Oryzias latipes: one gene and its partner. The protein of the gene in region 2 purifies or fractionates together with the protein of the main gene of each other region. This does not show direct contact. Links are inferred from orthologs where the notes say so. Each region holds a gene or a part of one and is shown on either strand. Other genes may lie near its edges. The genes, in order: wasl and sorbs3.

What was found.
Region 1: the proteins of sorbs3 (region 2) and wasl purify together in Homo sapiens (co-immunoprecipitation; 3 studies listed by BioGRID and IntAct, with this or other methods). This does not show direct contact. The link is inferred for Oryzias latipes from reciprocal best matches to the Homo sapiens genes SORBS3 and WASL.

What each region holds. Positions count from the first base shown.
Region 1 is NC_019881.2:13,539,666-13,552,429, forward strand, and holds the start of wasl (neural Wiskott-Aldrich syndrome protein), read left to right. Parts: upstream 1-4,203; 5' UTR 4,204-4,533; coding exon 4,534-4,638; intron 4,639-11,539; coding exon 11,540-11,674; intron 11,675-11,835; coding exon 11,836-11,922; intron 11,923-12,317; coding exon 12,318-12,414; intron 12,415-12,764. UniProt on the Homo sapiens protein: Regulates actin polymerization by stimulating the actin-nucleating activity of the Arp2/3 complex. Involved in various processes, such as mitosis and cytokinesis, via its role in the regulation of actin polymerization.
Region 2 is NC_019867.2:17,338,556-17,351,559, forward strand, and holds the start of sorbs3 (vinexin), read right to left. Parts: upstream 8,235-13,004; 5' UTR 8,113-8,234; intron 1-8,112. Other genes in the region: protein neuralized-like, read right to left, coding at 11,192-11,364, 11,466-11,627, 11,743-12,252. UniProt on the Homo sapiens protein: Vinexin alpha isoform promotes up-regulation of actin stress fiber formation. Vinexin beta isoform plays a role in cell spreading and enhances the activation of JNK/SAPK in response to EGF stimulation by using its third SH3 domain.

The DNA of each region.
Region 1 (12,764 bases), on a different chromosome or scaffold from region 2:
TAAAATGTTTCAAGCCTTACATTTCTTTCTTCAAGATTATTTACAAAAAATAAAAATAAAATCTAGCAGTATCTGACGTAAAAATTCACATATGCTTTAGATTAGATTAGATTAGATTAGATTAGATTAGATTAGATTAGATTAGATTAGATTAGATTAGATTAGATTAGATTAGATTAGATTAGATTAGAAATACAGAAATACAGATTTTTCTTTTCTTTAATGGAAATATCTTCAAATCGAGTGAAGATGCTCTTTTTGTTTGTGTGACATGGATCAATCAGCAATTTGATCATCTAATTCTTGCACTATTTTGCAAAAAATGGGGTCAAATATAACTGAGTGGCACTGAAAAGGCATCATTGATTTTAAATCTAATGCAGTGCTGCCATCTTGTGGTTTAAAAGTGGCAGTGCACAGCAGACACAGTAAATAATCTCATAAGGTTTTACCGACCGAGAGGAGTGGTTTAGAAGTTTCACATGACTATAACAATAACCAGTTTTACAATATATATGAACACAGAAAAACACTACTAAATGACAGGTATGCCCCAGTCTTAAATTGTTTTTAGGGTTGGTTTTTCTATTATCACACTGCACAAACTGCTAAAGTAAAAAGACCTTTGTTTTTAAGAAATATCATTTTATTATTTGTATCTCAAGAAAAATTAGGTTATCAAGAAGGTTCTTCAATACGAAAATAATCTTATTTAGAGAAAACATGTCTTAGTGACTAGAATTTGATTTTAGAATACAAATTAGTGGTGAGATCGTTTTTTTTTAAATTAAATTTCTTGCTTATTTTAAGTAATTTTTTCCAACTTAAAACTAAATTTGCTTATTTAAGGGGCTCTTTCTTGCAGTACACTTTGCAATGAAAATCAAGTAGAGACATGTATGTTATCAAAAGTAAGGTCAGGAGTATGTGTGAGGGAATTTTCCACCGCCTCTAATGGTAATGTCAGCTGTCTGGTTCTTTTTTTTTCTTTTGTGATGTCTTTGTGAATGAGCCTGTATAATCGCTACTGTGCAATCCTCAATGGTGTAATGTTTCCCATAAAGGAAAATGCCGGGAGATGCTGGCCTGTTTAAATGACCCAGTTGTGACATTTTCCCTCCCAAAAAACCCACATTGTTTCTCAGTATGATTACACATTCATAAAGAGGCCTAAGGGAGGTTTGTTCCACGAGACTCCAAATTTTAATATTCATGTTTCATTTTTGCCTTGTCTTTGGAACTTTTTTTTTTTTTTTTTTTGCTGAAAAAAAAAAGTCGGTTGAAAGCAAAAGCAAACAATATGCTAGCACTCACTTATGCATATTTTACCTCAAACAAGGGTTTATGTCCACACCACAAAAGCATCTGCCTGCACGTCATGTAGTCGGGATGACGTAACAACTGTTGCGTCAACTGTGTGTTGTTGCACAGACAACAATCTCTATTGTTATTGTGGAAATACAACAAGTGTTTGTATTCAGTATCACAAAAAAAACCACAGTGAATTGTGTGGGTTTTTTTTGTTTTTACATTTCCACATTTCAATTCTGTGAAGACATGTAGCTTTTGTTTGCTTTGTTGCATTATCAGCTTTAAGGAGTTTTGTGAACGTACAGTCCACGTAAACACATCTGTGGCTGTAAGGACTAGGAAGACTTTGTAAACTTTTGACAACATTGGACATTTTAAATACATGACACAGTCCATGAAACATAAATGCACTTCCTAATATGCCTGAATGGTGTTAAGAAGTTTACACATATATAATGTTATATATATTTTAAGTAATAAAATAATATAAATATATAATAAAGTATGATAATATTTGTTCAACGACTTTCCCTTTTAATTAATATTTATTAAGGCTACAGCTTAGATTTTTTTTAATCATCGCATTGTTTTTTACTTTTGCTGCATTTGTAAATTAACTTTGTTTTATTCATCTTTGCAGCTTCACTATTTTTACCCTTTGCTTAAATTTTTTTTTTTTTATCAGGTTTCTTTTGCACTTCTTCATTTGAATTTTTATTTTATTATTTTTAAGCTATTTAAAGACTGAGTCTTGTGATTCATGATACTTTGAGCTGTGATGTATGATTGTGTTTTAAATATTTTCTCCTTTTCCAGTGTTTTCTTTTTACTCGCTTGTAAAGAGGCAACTATGTGAATAAAGTTTGTCAATAAAGTTTGATGACTGATGACAAAACTTTAGCTTTTACTCTTTAGCGCTGAAAGAGGCTTTGAAATAGACACGTTTGTACCACTTCATCTGCCTGAATCATTGTGATACTTACAAAAATGAAGGTGGGCGGAGCCATGCAGCGTTTCCTCAGGTGTTTCTTCTTCTGACTCTCTGGTTTTTCAAGCTCGACAAGAGCAGAGAAAGGTTTGAGCACGAGTCAGAAGGCAGAATTGAAAAACTGTAGTCAGAATATGCAGAAGCAAAAATTTCCTAAAAACTCGGTGAGAGGTTGCCTTTAAATTAGGAACAGAAAAATGAATCCTGTATTCAGAAAAATGAACCATGTTTATGAATTCATACAAATAGGATTGCAAAGCTGGTTGTAATTTAAGACACTGTGAATCTGCCTGAGCACCGTGTACAATCTGGATGACCTCTGCTGCTGTGCACACACAGACAACCACGTGTACTTGTATACATATACACAGGCAGGAGCTGCAAACAGACGTGCTCTCACTCCGTCCCACCCAGAACTTAAGAGTGAGACAAAGTCATCGTGCAGTTTCAGCTGGAATATAACCGCGCCATTGTGTAACACTGCAGACAGGAGCAGACACGCAGAAAGCAGTTTCATAGTTAGAAGTTTTACAAAAATGACTGCCAGTTTTAATAAGATTTCGTGACAAATAATCAGGTGTTTTGCATTTTTTTATTCTAATTTTGTGAGCTTTTAAGAAAATTGATTTAAATAAAGAAGGGTTTGAAAAATTACCTTTTTTTTGCTTGAGCTTTATCAAAATAGGCAAATGAGGAGCCTGTGCTTACGTCAAATGATAAAAGCCTGCAAATCAGTACTAAAAGGATTTCAAATGAGCTAGTTTTTCAACATACTCCTACATATTCTTACATAGAAAGAAACACATCAAGAAGTGTGACTTTGAGGTGGTGGTTACATAAACTTATTTGAGCTAATAATAGCTATTTCTACTTTTTCAAGCTATCTTTAATTAGAATTTCTGTGATAAAAGGATCGACGCGTGGTAAAGTGTGACACAAAACAGAAGAATTTATTTGTGTTAGTAGAACAACCTGTTTGACTGAGCATATGGCAAAGTGGGGGTAATCTCCCTAAAGCGATTGAGCTTGAAAAAAATGTAGTACGCCAGGCAGGCAGGAGAGCTATTGTTCAAATCCACGTTTTGCTGCACCCAATTATCTGCTTAAGTAATCATCTTTTTTTTTTATTTTCTAATTTTTTACTACATATCTGACAAATATTTGTTGTTTCTTATCACATCTTCACTTTAATTTCTTATGCCCAGAGTATGCTTTGATTTGTAAAATAGAAAACTGTTCAGAAAATAATAAATAAAAAAGAGCCTTACTAAAAATATTAAGTTATTTTTGCGCACATGTCAGCTTGAACCCTTAGGTGATGTTAAAGAAATGGAGCGCATTTAATTTTCCCTTGCTTTATTTACCAGTTCAGTCTAGCTGTGTGGCACAGTTCAGGAAGGTCTTCTATTTTAAATGAATGTTAATAACCTTTTAGAAATGAATCTAAAACCTAACTTGACCTATGACTTTTAGGAGTTTTGTTATCTTTAAAAGAAAATGGTAACCTTTTTGGTTCTTAGCGAATGCCTATTAAATCCCAAAGAGTTCATTTAAAATGTGGGATTAGTTTCCTGATAATCCCTAATCCAGTAGCTGCTCATACGGAAAAAAAAATCTTATCTTTGCTGACTGAACCTTATTCCTTACTGCCTCCCATTCCCAGTACTCACATTCCTGTCATAAAAGCCAGGGGCAGATTGGATTGTACCATCTTTACGGATAACAAGCAAAAACAATAGATTTCTTTGGCAATAAATAATAAATGGAATTCCCATTGAAATAAATGTATACGCTATAGATCTTTAAATAATTGTTTTAAGTATTATTTTTATGTTTAAAATATTTTTCAAGGTCTATTTGGGACGCGTTAGGTGAACGTTCCCCCCTTTTCAAGAACAATGGAGTCGTCCTAACTGCCATGTTGGATGGAGCTGGTTTAGGGCTCTCTGACGGCTTGACTGCCCAAGAAAGTTTCTGCAGTGTTCCGCCTTCTCTCGGTTGTTCCCAATTTGATCTTATTTGGAGGAGCTACGGGACTTTGCTTTACATTCCTAACCAGCAACCATCTTTGGCAACGTCGCTTTGCGGAAACGCAGGACCAATCCCAACCGGTGCGAGGGGTCCGGAGGACGAAGGCCACCCATGACCGAGAGGAATTGTTTATGTGTCTTTTGGGGTCTCGTATTTAACGAGTAAACTCAGTGCATACTTAGTTAATCAATTGATCTCTCACGATGAGTGGACTTTCACAGCCACGGCGGCCCATTAATGCGGGTTCAATTCTCCTGACCAGTCAGGAAAACGACTGCCTTTTCAACTACCTTGGTAGAAAATGCACCGTAAGTATTGTTTTATATTTCATCAATAAAATTGATTTCTGAACGATAGCTTGCTAACAAAAACTAGCTAACATTGCTAACTTGCAAAACGTTTCCTGTCCCGGGAACAGGGGATAGTGTTCAACCGGGATGTGTTTGTGGCCTGCGGTTCAATCTCCTACATGTTTATGCGCACACAGTTGAGGCATTTGAGATTTACAGGCTAGTTTGTTTTGACAGCCAGCGCGTCCGCGAGTGCGTTTAAACCTTTTTATTGATTAGAGAGGACACATGGGAAACGTAGTTTCATTCCTGGCGTGATAAATGCTTGGTCACATTTAAGTCTAGAGCTCGACCCACCTAACTAAGTCATCCAGAATTTATGCTAACAGTAGCCTAGCATTGATTGAGTCGTGTTTGACTTATCGGGGTGTTAAAGCAGTTAAAAATCCATCTGCGACATTTCCCCCCGTTTTTCCTCTCCTTTTTTTCCGTTGACATTAATATATAACGTGACTCAGCCTTCATGTTTTCGGGAAGTGTGCCACCAAAAAGAATGTGCCAACCCAGACACATGGCTTAGAACCCAGCTGACTAGCTTAAGCTTTAAAATACATTAAAAAAGCAAAGCAAAACGGGCCAGTCACCAAATGTGATGAGCTAAGCGGAAGGAGTCGTCCCCTTCTTCAGGTGTGACTGCGGCGGAGGTCTGTAGTTCCATTCCCATGGCGTCAGAAAGTGACAGAATCTGCTTTATTGCGTAAGACATTTAGCCTTCAGCAGATTTTTTATCTTTTGATTTTTTTGGTGGAAGTCCCACCTTCTCTCATAATCCTCTGAAGTACACCATTTGCGGCTTTTAATTTTTAATTTTTGGCTTTTGATGGATGTAATGACTTTTTTCTTTTTCTTTAAAACACTAATCTTAATCAACCCATCCCTCCTTTTTTTTCCCTTCTTTTTCCATGCCACCATTCTCATGCTGGCACTTTACATTAACAATTTTTGCAAATCCCAGAGAAGACAGATTTTTAACTACAATATTTTTATTTGTAATGTGCATTTACTTAAAAGTCTCACTTCGATCATCTTTTGATCTATTTTTAAAGTGCTCCCAGCGGATTTTTACGTATGATTATGCTGTTTTTAGCCTAAATTTAAAAAAGTTTTGCGGAACAGCAGTAGTTAATTTACCTCTGAGTTGTGGGCGAGACTGTTGAAGCAGAGTAAGTCCACCCTCCCTTCCCGTCATCCATTTGTTTACACACTTTCCTGCAAGCAAAAACCCCCAACCTAACATTGGCGGTGAAACAAAAATGGCAAGTAATATAGGAGCTATCCAGTCGCACAGTTTGGAGCCAGATGCCAGCTCAGACGTGGAAAACAAAGACATATCTGGATCTAATTGTCTGCAAGTGGATGCATCAGAATGGAGCAGAGCGGGGAGCTTGTGGTCTACATCAAATCTACAGGCTTTTTTTAAACCGCATTTTTGCATCCTCTCCGCATTCACAACAATTTGAATAGATGTTCAGTAATGCAATTTTAAACTTAACTTTCCTAACACATGTGTCCTCCAACGTATGAGAGAGGCTACAAGAACATGCTAAAAACACCAAAAACATCATCTGAGTGGGTCCTTAAAAATAAACCAGGGTTGGTTAAACAGAATAATTTTTGCCTGTAAAACAACACCACAATCCTAGATTTTTTTATTGAAAGGGCATAGTTATTAAGGGCACATGTTGTTTTTCATACATATTTGAATATTGAAAATGCACAGTAGTTTTCTCTTCTGGGCTTGTCATTGGGTTGTGCATTGCGGTCAATGTCTTGCTGCAATAAACCCCTCTGCAGATCTGCTCTAAGGTCAGGTGCTGAATGATGCTGGCAGCAGTGCTGGAAGTTGTTAGGAATATTAAAAGTACCTGCCAACAAGACTCTTTGCGGCTTGGGGGGTGGGGGGGCACTTTAGCATACAATAACTGCTGAGCAGTTTTGTCAAACCTGACAAATGTCACCCAAGCTTTATCTGCCAGAAAGTATGCTACACCCTCGCTTGTTATTGATTTCCTTTTTAGATTAGTCTTGTTTTTAGAAACCGGTTTCATATTGATAAGAGCAAGTCTAGTTGCTGCGTCTGTCTTTGTTTCTTTTATGATGATGCAGGGTCATTTCTTAAAGTCTTAACTTTGTGGTTTTATTGCTGCTTCGCAGGGATTTTAGTGTATTGAGTTACTTCCACATAGTCGTATAACCCAGCAAATCCGCCATAATTGAAACCTCTGAGGTGCTCGTACGAACAGAAGTTTGCTTTGGGAAGGCCGCATTTCCTGTTTTCAGGATTCACACGGTCAAACCTGTACGAGAGCCGCCCGGCTTCCACCTTTATCTGAGCAAACGCAGCTCTGAGGCGTGTCCTGCAGATCTGCAACCTGTTTAAAAACCTCATGACTGTATTCTTCTGGCATCCTGTCAGTGGGATTTTACGTCATGTGACACAGACGTGTACGCAGGAGCATTCCCCACCTTTGTGCCTTGTGTACACAGGGTCTCATGGACAGGAGACAGAAAAATATACCATGATAAAGGAAGACGGAATGCATCTAAGTAGCCAACACTCGCCAGTGTTTTTGCTTTTTGTTTTAGAATCTTGATAGGAAATACCCAAAAAAATGCACTAAATGGAAATGCTGGATTATGAATCATTATTGAATTTCGGCTGGTGAAACGATAGTGTCATTGACACGAGGCAGCCGCAGATGCCACAGACAGGTTTCCTTCATTGGTATTCCTTGTGCTCCCTTGAGCGTCAGCAGCTCTGTCTTGCTTGGTGAAAGATGGAATGTGTCCAGTTCACACATCGAGTCTTCATCCGTGTGTGTGCGCGTACGTGCACACACACTGCCTGATCAGCAGTCATGTCCTACAGGAAGGAAGTCCTGTGGTCGACCTCCTCTGGTGATTTGTGCTGGACGAAATGGACGTGACTCTCCTTTTCCTTCACTTCTCTCCTCTTCCAGAGAGTTTCTCCTTTTTAATCTTCATTTTCAGTTGTTCCGATTATTTGCTGAATCTTTTTCTTCCAGTTGGATCTCTCCTTTAGACGTTCTTTTGCATTTTCTTTTTCTGTTTTTATTGGACCTGTTGGCTTGTTTTAATCCCTTCTTTCATTAGACTTTACATCTAAAGACCCACTATGATGAAAATTGTGTTTTTGGTGTTTTAACATTTTTTTGTGGCAGTTTTCTGATGTATTAGAACATTGTGAAAATTAAGCTTAAAATTAAAAAAAGGGTTATGCGTGATGTACACTTGGCGGGCCTTAAGCTCGCTTTGCTAAAGCATCCACTAGCAGACAAATGGATGCATGTACGTCTTTGTTTTCCTCGTCTGAACTAGCCACTGGCTCCAGACTGTGGGTCTGGATAGCTTCGATACTGCTCGCCAATTTTCTTGCACCGGTTGGGGATGTGAGGGGCTGTAAGACGGCGGGAAAGCACGCAAACGGAGAGCTCTGTTATGGGTGGCGGGAAGGGGGGGCGGTGTTGCTCTTCACCACAACTCTGAGGCGAATTTCTAATGAACTCCTGCCGCTCTGCAGAAACTATGTCCTAGAAAATGAAAAGTTTTTTTGTTTTTTGACTAAAACTGCATCATCATACGTTATAGAATAGAGGGAACACTTTTACAATAGATCTTAAGATGATTGAAGTGGGATTTTAAAGCCTTTAAAATCTAATTATTAGTGAAGTGTCCAGGTTAAAAAGATGCACTTTTTTTTCCAATCTGTTAAATCATCTCCATTCAAGTGAATCACTACCCATTTATGGTCTGGATCTGTTGTTAAGATCCCATCTTTGACCAATTCAGATGTTTAAACTCTTGGATGGCCTGAGCAACTGTAAACTATATAAACCTATATATTATTTTACTTTTATGTTTTGTTTTTGTGGGTTACATGGGAAAGTAAGAATTTTCATAAACAGTTTTAAACGTAAAATAATTAATATTATTGAACACAAACAATTGCAGAATATCGGCAGCGATTCTCTCAAAAAAGACTATCGTTTTAAGTTAAATTTGAAAAAGGGGTTTGGACTCAAATAGTCAAACTCCATCCAAAACATTGCATACAGTTGTTTATTAATATGCCTTCATTTATGATTATTTTAATCGGTTCCAAATAGACAGAAACTAAGTAAAAACTGAATGTATGATGCTTAATATGATGGGACAGAGAGGTTAAACTTGGTGATGCTGTGGTTTAGTTCCTCTTGTAGATCAAACAATATTTTTTTGAACAAATGTCATTGAGAAACCACAGGATTTTGTGCTTTTTATTTCAGCTAGGTAGTCCGTGTCATCCTGTTTTTGCTTTACACGTTTCTCAAGTTTAGAATTTTCAGGCAGGTCGGCAAACTAGTTTTTCTCTTCAAAGGTTGATCTCAACAGAAATGTGGTGAGGCTTTGAATTTTACTCCAGCTGATCTCCTTTTGTTTGTTTTTTCTCGTGTACTGCAAGTTTAGTGTCTTTTGGAAAGATGGATTCAAAATTATGATCATAAAGTTTTAATGAAATGGTTTTCTTTTTTTTTTTAACAAACTATTAAAAGTAGAGGGATAATTTTGTTAAATTCAGATTTTATTTAACTCCTGAACTAAAATATTAGGGTGTTCCTCCCTGTTCATCCCGACTGCTTTGTTTACGTGCCTTTTGATTCATCAGATTAAAGCATAAAAAGCCATAACTCTGGAAGATTTCAAATAAAAATCAGAATATGCCACCGTAAGTTTCACATAAAACCATTGGAGTTTCACATAAGTGCACATATTACCTAACCTACTGACTAAAAAAAAGATATGTTGGTGTGAACAGTGTTTGCACCGGGTCAGTGAACGCAACATCAGGCGTCTTGCAGGTAGAAACTCCAAGCTGAGAGTCACAACAATTACATTTGAGAAATACTCTTAGTTTTTGACAGAAACCACAGTTTCCCATCCTATCTGGAGAAATCAGAGCTTCATGAGCAGATCAGAGTTCAAGCTTGAAAGCCGTCATGCTAAGATGCAGCAAAAAGCAGGATTTATTATGTGATTTTATAAGCATGAAATCAGAATCTGTTTGACCAAACTGTAAAAATGTTACCTTGATGAAATAAAATGTCAAAATCAACAGAACTGCTTCAGGTGTGACACATAGTTCAGAACATGTTGTCATTGGGATATTAGTGCAAATGTCTGCTTTTTCACTATAAATGCTTAAATCAAAGCTCTCTTGATTAGAAGGAAGTCCAGAAAAAGCTTTTGACCCGTGCAGCATATTTTCTACGTCACAAATACCATAATTTTCCAACTGCATTTTTTCCTCCCGCTTCACAGCAATTTAAATAAAGAATTTAAAGAGCTCAATTTTCTTCAAATATGTCCTCCATCATCAGAAAAACGGCAAAAGAACATGTGAAAAAACACAGTTTTCACCAGAGTGGGTCATTAATCCTCACAGTACTGCAGCAGATTGTTTTTCTTCCTGTTTTTGCTCACCTCAACATCCAATTTACACTAAACTACAAAGGGTCCCTGCTGTGCACGGCTACCATGAATCCTGTTGAGCTAGGCTGTAATTCCTGGAACTGGGTTCGGTTGAAAGGGCCCACAAGGCTTTTCCCTTGATGCCCCGGCTTTCATGTGTTACTCTGCAGCGGTGATGCTGGACTTCCCGGTGGGAAGGAACTCCTGCAGCAGCGTGGTAAAACTGCAGGAGTCTAATCTGGCCTTATGATCTTGTCTCGGTGTGCCATAGCTGATCCGTGTATGTGGAAGTGTTGCTACTCAGGCTTTTTGTAAATGACACGTGTTTGCTAGTGGTCATGTGATTTAATAGTGCAGTTAAGATTTATAAATAAATGTATAGTTTTCAATCTTTATGTTTTCGTGTATGTACTGTAAACTGCTTTTAGGAGGCCTTTTAGTTTCTTGGTGGTCCCCTTTCCCACATTAACAACTTTTTTTTTTGCTACAAAGTTTACATTTAATTGTCATTTCTCATCACAAATCAAATGTTTATGAATTAAATTGTAATATTTTAGCAATGATTCTCAGCAGAGTGGAGAAACATTGGTTGCAGAAATGCTACTTTGACTCAGTCAAAAATAAAGATGCAAAGCACAAATGCACATTTTTTACAATTTAAACATGTATATTAGCATAAAATCACACAGACTTTTCTTTTCTATTTTTGCTCCTATTTGGACAACTTTTCATTTTTGAACAAACATTTCTATAATAATTTACACACATGTAAAGGTGACCCTGAATACTGAAAGACATTTTTCCCAAGGTTTTATTTGAACATCAAATTCACCAATTTTTCTTTTACATATAATCTATTACACCCTAATCTATATTACATCAATAAGGTTTAATGGGATACAAACTAAGATCAATGAGAGCAGATGAAATACTAAACAAATACAAATTTCCTAAGGAAAGGCTAGAAAGCTGAAGATGCCCCTTACAGTCAGTCCAATTGATGAAGTCGGACTCTTTTGCTCACTGGTAATCCTTTAAGTCCAAAATCCTAAATTTTTTTTAATCTTTTAAGTCTTGTTATATAAAATGATTGGTAGGCTGGGTCTGAGACATTGATGGTATTTATAGGAAAATGTTGTATCTATTTAATGAAGATGTTTAGCAATAATTCTTGTTTAAATGTCCTTTATCGCTGCATTGCAGTTACAGATATTTACCACAAGAGGGTGCTATAGGGTCTGGAAAACAAGAATTAGCTTTTAGAGTGATTTTTTTTTTCCATATAGTTTCTTTTAGTTTATTTTCTGCAAAGGTTGTGAATAAAAAACAAAGTGTCTCCATAAATGTTGAAATTTTAACTGCTGGTTTTTCTGTTTCTTGTCCTCTGCAGACACTGTCTTCAGCTGTGGTCCAGGTGTACACAGGTGATAGGAATGGCAGCTGGAACAAGAGATGCTGCGGGGTGGCCTGTCTGGTCAAAGACAACCCCCAACGTTCATACTTCATCAGAGTCTTTGACATCAAGGTAGCTTCAAGTCAATCTTCACTTTTACTTAAAGACTAGTAAAAGCACATTTTATAGTCAAACAATCCAAATATTTAGCATTAAAAGCTTCAGCAACTGTTAGATCCAGTTAGATTTGTTGGTTAATAAATGTGGTTGTCTCGTTTGTTTCTTGATGACAGGATGGCAGAATGATGTACGAACAGGAATTATACCAAGACTTCAAGATGCAGATGCCCAGGACTTATTTTGCAACATTTGCTGGAGATGTGAGTTCTCCGTTCGGAAAGAAAAATCCAGTTTTCTAAATGCACATTTCTGTGGACAAATACTTCCCTTCTTTTCGTAAAACCGCAGTTAGAGAAATCAAACTCTTTTGTGGGTTGTAGACATTAAATATAGTTGTTTCATATCCTTCAACTGTCCTAAAATAAAATAAGATTAATCTAGTATTTAGAACATTTTTGTTACCAAATTTTAATATCTTTTTTTTAATTTACTAATGGAATTTTCAAGAACATAAATGTTATTTCCATGAAATAATAGTTCAGAACTACTGCAAAAATGTCCAAAGTATGTGTGTGACACAGAAGAATAGCAGACAGGACTGATCGGAACTAGTGAACAGTTCTGTATACATTTTCCCGCATGTGCTTTCTGACAGACGTGTCAAGTGGGCTTAAACTTTGCCAACGAGGAGGAAGCAAAGCGTTTCAGAGGCAGCGTGTCAGAACTGATGGGAAGAAGACAGAGGAGAACTGGTACCTTCCCTTTTTCCTCAGCTTTGATCTCATAAAAAAAAAAGACAAGATTTACAACTTTTGTGTGTGGAAAAAAACTTCTTTTTGACATCTGGCGTGTAAAGCACTAAATTGGAAATGGATTTTAATAATAAAAAGTAATGGATGCAAATACTTAAACAAGTTGACTGTAAATGTAGCAGCTGATGTTCTATCGGATAGATCCGGCTGGATTAGCACTGTACTGCTTATCCAATCCACCTTTTTTATTTAGTTAAACTTGCTTCAAAGACATTTGGAGCACAAAAAAATGAAAATGTAAACTTGTCTTTTTTTTTTTTTTAACTGTATTGACACAGAACTGAGCAAAA
Region 2 (13,004 bases):
CTAGTCGTAATCATCAGTCTGCTGTTTCAACATCAAAAGTGCGCTGAAATATGTGTGTGTGTTTATGAAAGGCTACCTTACAATAGAAACCAAGCATCCGAAAACCCTGAAACCAAAACATCTTTAGGAAGTTGGCAACTGATTCCAACCTTATACCAATATAAACAACTGAGCAAATCCATGACAAAAAATAAAAATAAAAAAGCAACAACCAAATGTGGGGAAAAGCGTTTCTGGAATAATAGCAAATCCTTTAATGAGTTTTCCAGGAGGAATTTGCTGAAGACTACTAAAACCTCTGCTGAAAACCCCTCAACTTCTGTTTTCTGTCTCTGTATGCAGTATAAAGCCCAAGCACTGACAGCATCAATGATTCAGTAACCAGACAACAGTGTCAGTCATCTGAATAGTCAGAAAATCTGTGTTACGAAACAGGAAAAAGAGATGGGGAATTGTGACAACAATCTAATTAATGGCCGTCCATGACAGATGGTTGAGCACCAGGATCACATCCAGATGATGAGTCATTGATCAGAGGCAATGTTAACAAACTGCTTTCGCACTGTTTGACTTGCTGATCTGCATTTCCATCTGATCTCATCTGAGCAGGAAACTTTTCACTAGAAGTGGGCTCAAGGTGATTACCATAAAACTAGAGTTATTTGTCATTTTCCTTTTAGGGAAAACAAAGGATCTATTATTTTACACAAGTTAACTCCAAAAACAAAACAAATATTTTACAACAAGTTTTCTTTTTACACGTTTTTTTTGCCGAAACTTCCATTTTTTAATCCACAATAACACAACACTGAACTGTTTAAGACTAAACCAATTTGGAAATATTCATGTAGCCAACGTAAAGGTTCTTATAATCTAATCTAAAGTTACCTGATCAAGTGAGGCATTTAAAGATTTCCATCAGAAGAACAAAACACAACCAGTGAGGCAGTTCAAACATAGATATGCTAGAATACATGCTTTTCTTTATGCTGTTTGTCCCTGCATGGTCTAATAATGAATAACCATCCTGTGTACGGCTGTCCCTCCCTCACTCCCTGACAGCTGGGACGGTTTCCAGCACCTCCACAGCCCAGAAGGGTATAGAAAATGGATGGATTGAAGGCGTAAACCTTTGAGGTTTGTTTAATTTTTTGAAGCATTGAAAGGAAAAAAAGTCTCCTTTTTCCAAGAATTTTTTCCATGACTTAAGCCATACCATTACAGTAACTCTGTGTCATATCACAGCAGAACCAAATCAAAAAGATCTACTCATCTACTCCACACTAAAAGCTTCAATCACAGTCTAACCTAATAAGGCAAATCCTCTGTTGATGGTTAGCAAAGGAAAGCCCACTCCAAAAGTTTGGTTCTTTGTTGGTTTGTTTTTCATGCTCAGTGCGCTCTTATGTAATTGCTGAGCCTCAACACAGAAGGCAGCTCTGAGCTTCCACATAAAGATTTGCTTTTAGAAGCTCCTGGATGCTGTCTCTGTGAAGCACGTTTCTTTCTGCAGGCCTGCACCCCGTCACATTTGGGGAAAGGAAAGCATGACCTTAAAAAGTAATTCACCTTCATTCTAGAGTTGATATCCTCCTTTGGAGATGCTTTCACAATGCTGAACTGACAGGTTTTGTTTGCTGCTTTACACGTGGTGACATAAACTCAGCATGGCAGAATGCAACTGAGGATGTCTAACATAGGAATCGACGGATTTTGACTTGGATTTTATTTTTGTCTGTCCCCAGGAAGTTCAAAGAATATCTCCAGGGAAAGAGGCAAATATTAACTGATCCAAAAATAAGTTAAAGCTAGAAAACAACAGGAAATCCAAACTGCGGGGTGCTGAGACAAAAATGTATGTAGACCACTTCAAATTAAACAAAACACAGTTAAAGTCATCTCTCTTAGAAATTGTTGTTGAAACTTAAAATAATAGACAGTAAAAAGAGAAAACATGATTCTGCACTGATCTGTCACTGTAACATTTGTCAGTTAGACTGGAAATACAGGGATTACAAAACAACAATTGATGAAGCTGATGACAAACATGCTTATTTTAAGTGATTTTGCAGATTTAAAGTTGTGCAAATGTGTGTAAGTAAGGCACTCCAAGTCCACTCTGTGAATTGTAGATTCAGGTTTAACAAGAGAAAGTTTTAGTTTGAATTTCCTCTTTCCTCTTGCTTAAATCTGACTTTGATTAAAAATGTGTTCATATAGCTGTGGAGGCATTTCCATACATATACAGGTCTCCTTAAGTCTCATTGAATTTGAACCAAGTCTGAGTTAGGACTTTGATTCTTTTCTTTTCTGTCATTGAGATTAGTGACATAGACCTCTGACCAAAGTCCCAGGATAAAACCTGCAGAGTTTCACCCATGCCAAAATTAAGCAAGGCACTTGTAGTAACCAGGGAGCACTAGTCTGGGCCCCCCATGCGTACGTCCCAATCCCAGATAAAATACAGGGTTGAGTGAATAAGTGAAAGCTGATTTGCTGTGGCAACCCCTGAAGAGATATGTCGGAAGGTGAACAACAACTTTACCAAAATTGCTGAGCGATGGCCACAGGCAAATCTGTGGTTGCACTGACTGGACTGGGAAAAGGGAAGAACCTGATTTAAAAAATGCTTTTAAAAAGACTTTTATCTCCTTTTCCCTGAAAACCTGGGTAGATGGAGAGTTCCTGGTCAGCTCCAATCATCAATCCTAAGAGAGAATCTAAAGAGATCCAGTTGACATATTTTATTGGATTTTTTTGCAAATGAGAAGCCATGAATTTCCCCTTTATCTTTTATCATCCAATTTCCAAACATTTTTCTCTACACAAGTTTGTTCAATCACTACAACTTTGCTGCAACACAACACTGAGATAAGTTGATGAAAGACCTAATGATTTGCTGATAAAGCTGTGTAAACAAATCACTAAATGTACCATTTAAGGATATTTGCTCATGTCTAAAAAGAAGTGTTTGGTTCAAGTGATCTTTCTAACTGAAACAGCTGTTTTGCAATAATTCTGTGTTGAATTTTCAGATTCAATTTAAGAATTCCTAAATTAAGGCTGGGTGGCCAATGGTCACATTTCACTTGATTGTTTTTCCTCGCCAAAAATTTTTTTTAACAAGACTAAAATAATTCATAACATGGTAAAAATGTAGTATTTCAATATGAGTTTAATGCTGTCTATTTGTTGGGGAAAATGTTACAAAGCATGTCCCTATTAAGTAATTGTTCAAGTTTTATAGGTGCTATTGCACAATATGACAAAAATAAGCTTGATTTTAAAATAAATCACCATTTAATTAGGAATTGTATAAATGCAGGGGAAAAACAGCAGCTTTAATGTCCTCCCACAGCCGTGAACTGGAATTTATTATTGAAAAATATCAACATTTTTTGGAAAGACTGTCGCAAACTACAGTAAATATTTTTTAAGCACAGCAATTATCAAAAAGTCCTGGAGGCACTGAGATGACAGACACTGTAGTGTACGTGTCTCCACAGTCCTGCCTTGGTTTGGCTCTCAGGAACAGAAAATAAAGAGATGAGCTGATCAGTTTGTTTCCCTATGGAAAACTCCATCATAACTTGGACATCATAGCACTCTTGCTAGTTAAGTTTGTTGTCACAAAACCAGTGCCCCATCTGTGACAGGTTAACATGGGGGCCTTGCTAAATCTGGCTTTGGACCCTGGCAGCTACACCGTCCCCTTACCTCCAGTTTTCAAGATGACACCAGTGATTATAAAAAGAACCTAGAAATAAGTTATTTTAGTTGATCATACTCATATTTTCCCTCTATGCTGTACGAAAAGTTGGCAGATGACATCATGTTTGAAAGATGCTGAGGAGACCAGATCATCTTAAAAGACCCACTCCAATCAAAATTGGGTTTTTGCTGTTTTTAACCCGTTCTTTTGCCATTTTTGTTGAGATGGAGGACATATATAAATAAAATTAAGATTAAAATCGTGTTTCTTTAATCAAATCATTGTGAATTTTCCAGGAGAGAGAAAATGTTGTTACATAAAACTTGTAAGTGTGATATAGTTACCTTCTAGAGTCCATAGAATCTATGGTGAGCAACAAGCCCCCTGTTCTGCTCCATTGTGTGCATCCACTTGCAGACAAATAGATCTATGTACTTCTTTGTTTTCCTCGTCTGAACTGACATCTTGCTCAGAACTGTTCGGCTGGATAGCTTCAATTTGCTCGCCATTTTTGTTGCAACTGTAATGTTAGGTTGGGGGTGTGAAAGGCTGTAAACTAGAGGGAAAGTGAGTAAACGGATGGATGATGGGAAGGGCGAGGGCTTGCTACCACATCCACGGTCCCGCCCACAACTCAGAGGTGAATTTCTGATTAACTCCTGCCGCTCTGCAGAAACTGTTTGCTGGACAACGACACAGGATTTTTTGATTTTGGCTAAAAATGGCTTAATCGTAATTAAGAGACCACTGGAAACACTATTACAAAAGAGCAAAAGATGTTGTGAGACTTTAAAGCTACAAGAAGCTCAATGAATAGCTGAATGAATTATACTCAGACAAAATCCGACTTAGACAGATGTTGTACTATACTGCAAAAGGAAAACGGGTGTCATGTATATACTCATAAATCCTAAGATTTCTTCATCTTCATAAGAAGGACGTGACAGGTCTTCTTAAGGGACTTCCTCCACACAGAAGGGGAGCTTGCATTGCTCTTCACACTGACAACTCTGTCAAGGTAACAATACATTCTTCAACAAGAACACGGGGAGGGTTGACCCTTGAACTTTTGTGGTTGTCATCCAGGAAAGTTGTTATTTGTGGTCAAGGGAAGGATCTCTTTTTCTCAAGGAGAAAGATTTGATTTCTAGTCGTTGGCACATCCTCTGTTTCACAACATGGGAGCTGTTGAGGAGCATGAGGTCAAGGTTTCTTTAACATAAACATAATTTCCACATTTCATGATCTCCACAAAGCATTAAACGGCTTTGATTCATGATGTGCTGCTCTCCTGGATATTAATACATCTGATGATCTTGTGGTGACAAAGCAGTCATGTCCAATCATTTCCCGATAAACATTACATTACAGCTGCTCAACAAATTACATAAGCAGCCAATAAAACCAAAGAAATCATGGCTTTAAAAGTGCTGAGGTGCCAGTTACAAGCAGTTTGAGTGAATAAAACAGACATTTTATGGACACATTATGTGAGTCAGCATGCTGCTATGTGAGAGGTTAGCTGTGTCAGGATGATCACACAAGCATGCGGAGCAGATGTGTGGACAGAGTCCATACAAGGTCCTGCAGCAGCAGGTTTATGATAATCAGTGATTGAGGGGGATATACACATTTATCACGGAGGGAAGTATTTCACCTCCTTGTATGGTGCTCCACCAGCCTAGACAACAGGAGGAGTCTGTGCGTGTTTCATATCAATGGAGAGTTCAGTACGTTCCAGCAGAAGCTTCAGGCCAGTAAATCCCAGCCTTTTTTCCCCTCAAGAGGACCCAAGCTCAGAGTCGAAGTTGATTATTCTCATCAACAACATAAAAGAAATTCAATTATTTTCTTCAATGTGTTCAATATACCGTCAAAGCATAAGAAAGTAGGTGCGGGTAAGAGAAAAAAAATTTCCCAAATCTTCCTGCCTGTCATCTTGCATTTTTAAAGCTGACTGTAGGCAGTTGGACCCACAGAAACGTGACAAAGGGAGTCTGAGCCAGCTGTGGAAATCTCCCTGACAGTCAGGGGGGTCTGGACAGTCCAGTCATTGAGCTCCTTTTCAGAATGAGGGAAGCAACACGGCTGAGTGACATGTTGATCTCACCTGGTGTACACATAGCCCCTGAACAGATATTTAGAAACATTGCCCTCAGTGTACTCTGTGTGTTCATGCTTGGATGCATGCATTATTCCACTTGCTTAGTCAGTAAACAGTGGTGTTGCAACACTGAACTTCCATAGATTAAAGGCTTCATTTTGCTGTTAGATTCTTTGTAAAGATACATACTTTCTGCAGCATTTAAAACAAGGTAAACACTGTGTACACCTGAGCAGTCAGACTGGTTACTCAACACACTTGCTAAACAGCCATACCTGAGTTTCTCTGCTCTCGATTGTGCTCCCTTTCTTTACGAGTCCCCTCACCTTCCCGCTGGGGCTGATAAAAACCTTCCCCCTGACTGAGTGGGGCATGGAATCACCTCTGTCGGCCCTGAAGTTTCCCTTTTCTGACTGCTGAAACTGGCCAGGTCGCCTCTCAGACACCCAACCCTCACACCGCCTGCCTCCGAGAAAGACTTCCCGGTTGACAAGTATTACCATGACAACCCCTTTCAACCTGCGTTTAAAAGGCACCCTGCACTTGGCTTGTCAGTTCAGGGGCACCTCCTTCAGTGAAACAGCCCCATTGTTGTGATAAGGAGATAATTCACAGCACAGGGTTAACCAAAGGGGAACACAAACAGTTCATCACCTCTGCTGCCCGAACACAGCCAGGCGACTCCATGATGTCTCCTCCTAATTATCTTTTCTGTGATTATTTTACATAAAGAATGTGTTTGCATATTGTGGACTGAGCCTTTTAACTACTGTTTTTCTTTCCTTCATACATACAAACATGTGGAGAAAATAATTTGACACGTGATAGATATCTTAGCAGTGCAAAGGACAATTATTCAAATTCAGATGAATACTTCAGTCAAATTCGTGTGTCGTTCTTGATCAAATCACAATGCAGGTAAACCCCCAAAAGGACAAAATGCATACATGCATTCTGCTTCCATGCAATTCCTGCCTAACAGCCTGCCACAGGTAGACTGAGCTACAAATTCCACAAATAGTGACGGCTCCAATTCTCTGCCGGCCTGAATGGTCTCACTCAAACTTTCAGTCAATCTGCATATTTGTTTTAACATCTTCATGCAAGCCACTTTCCTCCTGAAACTTAAGGCCTCTGCTCTGTTTAATAATTCAGCGGTCTGGCTATAAAACCTGGGGGCAGCAGCTCATTCACTGAGCCTGTACTGCTCTCTGGGTTGTTTTTGGCCAAACGGTGGAGCTCCCAAACTTAAAGCATTACCCAGGCTCCTTTCAGGAGCCTTAGTTCTTAATTAGTGCCATGCAGGAACAGACTTTTTCCTTCCTGGTTGCACTTCTGTCATTATATTATTCTGTTGTTAAATGAGGTAATCGTACAAACAACTGGGTAAAGCCACAACCAAACATCTTTCCTTCACCCAATCCAGACAAAAAACACCTATTTCTTGTAGAAAAATAAGCCAGAAAAGGAGGCAAGGTATGCTCTTTTCCTACGTGATTCCCCACTGTTGTGGAAAGTTTCCAGCAGATCTTTATTGCGCTGTAAAGACCAACCACTGCCCTTTCACATAATGCCAGTACACTGCAGAGCCTCATTAAAAGGATAACAGCCAAAGATTCCAGGGAGAGAATTTACCATGACATAAGTGGATTATGCAATGAAAAACTACATCATCTTGAAACCAAAGTTACAGGTTTTTCTGGGTTTTTATTAGCGTGATTTTTATATTTGACTTTTTCTGAAAGAAGAAAGACAACCGCACTAAAAAAGTCTAAAAATCCAGTTATCATCAGTTAACATGAGAGAGACAGTACAACTCTACAGGTTAAAGGTATCATCAGAAACATGGAGGCTTGAGATAAGAACTACTTGTCGTGAAGTGTCACATGTGGGAATGTCTCCTGAGAACAAACACAAAGTAATCTGGGTTATCCTGGCACTAAAACAGCTTATTTCGGTTCGGGACTTTAAATTTAACTATCGTATCTAGAAAAAAGACTTAAGTTTTCCAGAAAGTTAATCAGAATAAAATCTGACAGCTCAAAGTTTGGGGAGAACCATCACTGTTATCAGCTGTAAAAAAAAAAAAAGTACAATAATTTTGAAGTGATGAAAAAACCCCTGTAAATATCAAGTGTCTTCATTCATAAATGTTCCTCCGGCAAACTGAAACTCCTGTTTAAACAATCCCAAAGTTCTGAAAAATCTTTCTGCACTGTCAACTTTTACTTCCTCGTCACCCACGCTGCTCTCATCTCACAGTCAGAACAGGAGGCACAAGTAGTACAGTACTTACAGGCTGCGCAGTCAGATCTTCTCGGCACAAAAGAAGAGAGGAACTGAATCCAGAAGGAGGAGGGAACCACCACTTCTCCCCACTCGCTCCGTTCCCTCCCTTTTCAGTCTGAGGACAACAGGGTGGCTTTTATCTATAGTGAATGATTCAGCGTGGGCCTGAATCTTTCCCTGCCTGTCTGTAGGCGTGCTGGCATGTGTTTGTTTTGCGACCATTCACTTTAACGCTCATCAGGGAGACAGGGCTCCGTAATAGTTTCCATCCACAGCTGGAAATAATAGATTCCCATCCAGTCATGAGCTAAGCAGAACAGCTTGTCAGTGTTCTAGGTGCAAAAGTCGATTTTTCTTTTCAGAGAAGAAGCATGGGTAACTCATGTTGTGCAGCAGTTCAGTCTGTTTACTGTCTGCTGTTATCATCAGATGGGTCTGATACATTTGTTCCTCACACAAAAGGCAGTCTGGGCAGCTTTTTATGTGAACCAAGGGGTTAAGTCAACGCGCTTCACCTGTTTCTCACAGACATAAATGCAGACGCATACAGGCTGACTACCTCACACACATGCAAGAGAACATAAGGCTTCCAGAACTAAATCTACTTACCTTCCTAAAATCTGAAAAATACGACAGTTCAACCATAAGAAGTAGTGCCATGGATCTGATTCTAGAGCAGTGAAGCTGCAAGATTCTGACTGGATTTACATGTTTATTCCCACGGTTTCTTATCCCCAGAAACATATGTTTGGTAGATTCCTTCACTTTGTGATCAAAAGCAGTGCAGTTCTGCCATCCAAGATAAATATTTAACAGGTAGGCTGTGAGATCACAAACCAAAGGTCACACCTTCAGTCTTTTGTCTAGAGTCCATCCACATGTCAAGACAACAATCCAGAACTTCACCGTAGTGAGTCGGAAATGTTACATGCGTATATATAATATATACTATATATATATTAATATATAATATAATAATATAATTACAATATATATATAATATTAATGCATACTTGGAGTCAAAGATCACACAAGTGTAATTACAAATAAACAGTTGTATTTTTTTTCCCTTCAAATATAATTTTTTTAAATGGATGTCAAGGTATCTAAAGATTTATTTCTAAACTATCTAAAAAATAATATTGATACCTGCAACAAGCCTCGGTTTCACTGTCTTGAACTCAAAGAGTTTTAAGAAGTAAATCTCTATTTAGGGAGTTATTGGTTTTTCTCATAATAAATGGAAATATGCTGCCCCTCAGTGGTTATAAAGGGCACTGCTGGGTTTGTGCTTTTACATGTGAGCAGAACTGACAGATGTTCCCAGAGTTGAAGACTCATCTAAACCAAAACAAAACAAAAAGTTTAAAAAAAGAAGCATGAATCCAAATTCAAGTCAAATTAGTCCATTGTTTTCTAAAAAAAAACAAAAAATAATGTTGGACAATGTTTAACGAAAATAGAACCAAGAAAAAAATTACTTGGAGGCATCAGATTATGACCACATTTTTTATACAAAACAGATTTCTCCACAGATGTCCTCAGAATAATGTCCCAGGGAGGGAAAATTAATGAATACCTATCCAACAGAAAGTTTATGTTTTACTGCTTTAGACCCACTCCAATGAAATTGGTGTTTTTGCTGTTTTTAACTTTTTCTTGAAGCATTTTGCTTATGGTGAAGGACATTAAAAAATTTAGAATAAAATTGCTTTCATGAGTATATTTTTACTTAAATGGTTATGAAGCAGGAGTACATGAAAAAAATGCAGATTGAAATATGTTACGTTATGTGGAAAATACAATGGGAAGGCCACTACAACAGTCCAGCTCACAACTCACAGGTGAATTTCTAACGAACTACTGCAGAAATGATGTCCTGAAAAATGATTGTTTTGCTTTTTGTGGCTAAAAAAATGGCAAAATCATAACTACAAGACCACTGGGAATGCTTTTAAAATAGATCACAAGATGATCGGAGTGGGACTTTAGGAGCAACCAGTTATTTTCTGTAGAAGCAATAGGAACAAACGTGCTTCTTGATGCAGATGGATTTTAGTTTTTCCTGCATCAGCAATGTTTGGGCTTTTAAGGTTAAACTACAAAAACACTTGCCAGCATTTTGCTTCATTCACTCCTTTGCCATGTTAATCATTTACAACAGACAAATCATTTAATAATACCACTGATTTGTGTGGACAATTATACCAGAGCTGTTGCATTAAAGACAGAACAGGTGAGCATGGATCCAGATGACGAACAGAGGAGATGCGGATACATAATCAAGTACACTAAATGTTTAATTTATATTAAAGTCTTAAAAAATACTGCAGATCATTTATTAACTAATAAGTTTTGTTTTCTATTTAACCACAGCAATGATTTGCAGGTTGCACGTTTTTCAGTTGTGCAAGAAACATCTCCACTCTCTGGTATCTTTCCAGCAGCGTAAAACACACCCATAACCAGTTTCAGATTACACAATCTACTGCATCGGCTTCTGCATTTTAAACAAAATATGTCTACTCCTTTGAAAAATGAGTCATTTTTAGATTCACGACAGTGCTGGGAAACCAAACACTCCGCTTATTTAGATACATATCTCAGGATCACATCAGACACATCAACAAGAATAAAAGTCAGAACGTCTTTATATCTTTCCTTATCTTTGACATTCTTCCAGACAAGTGACTTTTTTTTTTACAAAGTAGAAACATGTAAAAAGAAATTACAGTTAAAAATATGTGTAAAAAACATATAAAACAAATTCTTATACACAATAAACGCTCATGTCTTTGTCAGCAACAGATATTTTGGCTCCTCTTCTTTATCTAGAGATTACAAAGAAAGTGCAAAAGAATGACATTTTTCAATTTACATTTTACAAAATACATTTATGCTCATTGGGACTGGTGTCAGCTTCATAATACATTTTCTTTGTCTCACAAGGTTTTTATAAAATGTAAGTGTTTCTGGAGTGTCAGATTCTGTGGCTTCAACAATTCACGTCAGCCACTTTTCATTTTCCTCACTACAATTACAAAAACAGTTCAGGGATTATTTCAGGTGGAATAGCATTTCAAGGCTCAGCCAGACACCCCCCTCCACTCTATTAACAGAGACCTGATGTCCTCTCGGCACAGCGGGCAGGTTCCAAACTGCAGCAAGACTCTGGAAGTGCATTGGTAACACAAACACTTGTGGCCACAGGGCAAGGCACTTTCGACTGTTCTCTGCATGCACACCACACATGTTTCATCTGGAACCAGAAGACAAGAATCAAGGTTATATTCCTGGCATCACACAGACAGACTTCACTGTGCTAAATAAAAAAAGAACCGCTACAGTGACTCTTTTTACCTGCTGACATGTCCATTTCAAGGTTGGAGACGCACTCATCACCGTATCTTGATGTTGAAGCGTTAGCATTCAAATGACAGCTGTCATTGGGTGAGATGGGAAGCTCAGGTACAGGAACAGTGCAGGACTTTCTTCTATAAAACAATCTCTTCATCTCAGAGCCTGCAGCAGGGAGGTCACAGCAAAGGTCAGGGACAGAAAGACCATGATCCATGATCATGAATTTGAATAGAGAATAAGACAAAGAGGAGATACATTGTGAATGTGATAAACATACCAAGCAGAAATATGGAGCGTGTCTGTCCGTAGATATCTATCATGGCCCAGAGGGGCTGACCGAGGTCCACTCCTGAAAGAAGTTTGTCCCGCGTGTTGCCGCATTCTACATATATGTTTCCACCAGCAGAGACCCAGAACACCAGCTCTGAACCTGCAGAACACTGGGACTCAGGCACAGGAGCAGCCCAGTGGCCCGGCTTTTGGGTCAGATTTGGGATGGCCATCCTGGGCAGAGGCAAAGATCTGTCTGAAGGTGGCACGCTGGTGAAGCCGATCCGCATGGCTCCCTGCCATTTAAACAGTTCTTCCTTCTGCACTCGAACATGAACTCTCTCCTGGACCCTTACTGGCCGGCTAGTGAACACTAGGCCATCTCTGAACGTGTCCCCTATCCTTTCAGCCTGCAGACCATCCGGGCTCAGGTGGATCCGGTCTCCAGTAGCCCAACTGTGGAAGGTCAGAAGTCCGAGGCAGTGACGGCTGCACTTATTTGTTACCACTGAGCCAACTGTTGAGGAAAAAAAGAAGAATTTTATTTGTGGAGTTCTATAAATAGAAGTAAGAGAGGATTCAGTTCCACAAAAATGTCACAAAGCAAGTTTTTAAACCTTCATTTGTTGCTTGAGACAACTAGCATACAAGAGATATGGGTTGTTTTTCAGGCAGCCTTATCTGCTGCTCTCTTTTCTTTCAGATCTCAGCCTGGCCTCCACTGACTGATTATCCACATTTAGTGTCACTCCAAAATTTCGGAAAAACAAGGGTCTGACAAGACGAGACTTATGTGTTGAAACCGGTTTTAAGAGAACCAAAAGTTCATTCCTGCTCACTGCTGCAACCAACTTGGAAATTTTCTTTATCCAGTGCTGCCATGATCTAAGAAAAATTGCTGTTGTCCATCCCACTGCAGTATAAAGGAATTCCAAGAAAACCTTTATGACTATTTGCCGAACTATTTAAATCTTTTGTCAGGTTAATCACTACAACAAGTTAAGTGTGCCTTACGAACCTTGTGACACACCTAACTATACTGATCTTATTCCTGGAACTGCAAAGATGAAACAAACAATAGCTGTTGTCAAATTTATTTCAGGAATGTCTCCTCCTGAACATTCTAGTGCATCATAGAGATGACCTCACAAGACAGAAAAAGTCAACTCCCACTGAAGATTGACTGTTTTTTAGCTTCTTTGGCCCAAATAAATCTTTAACTTTCTCTTCTAACTGACAAAACAAGAATTAAAATATAAGATGTATTTA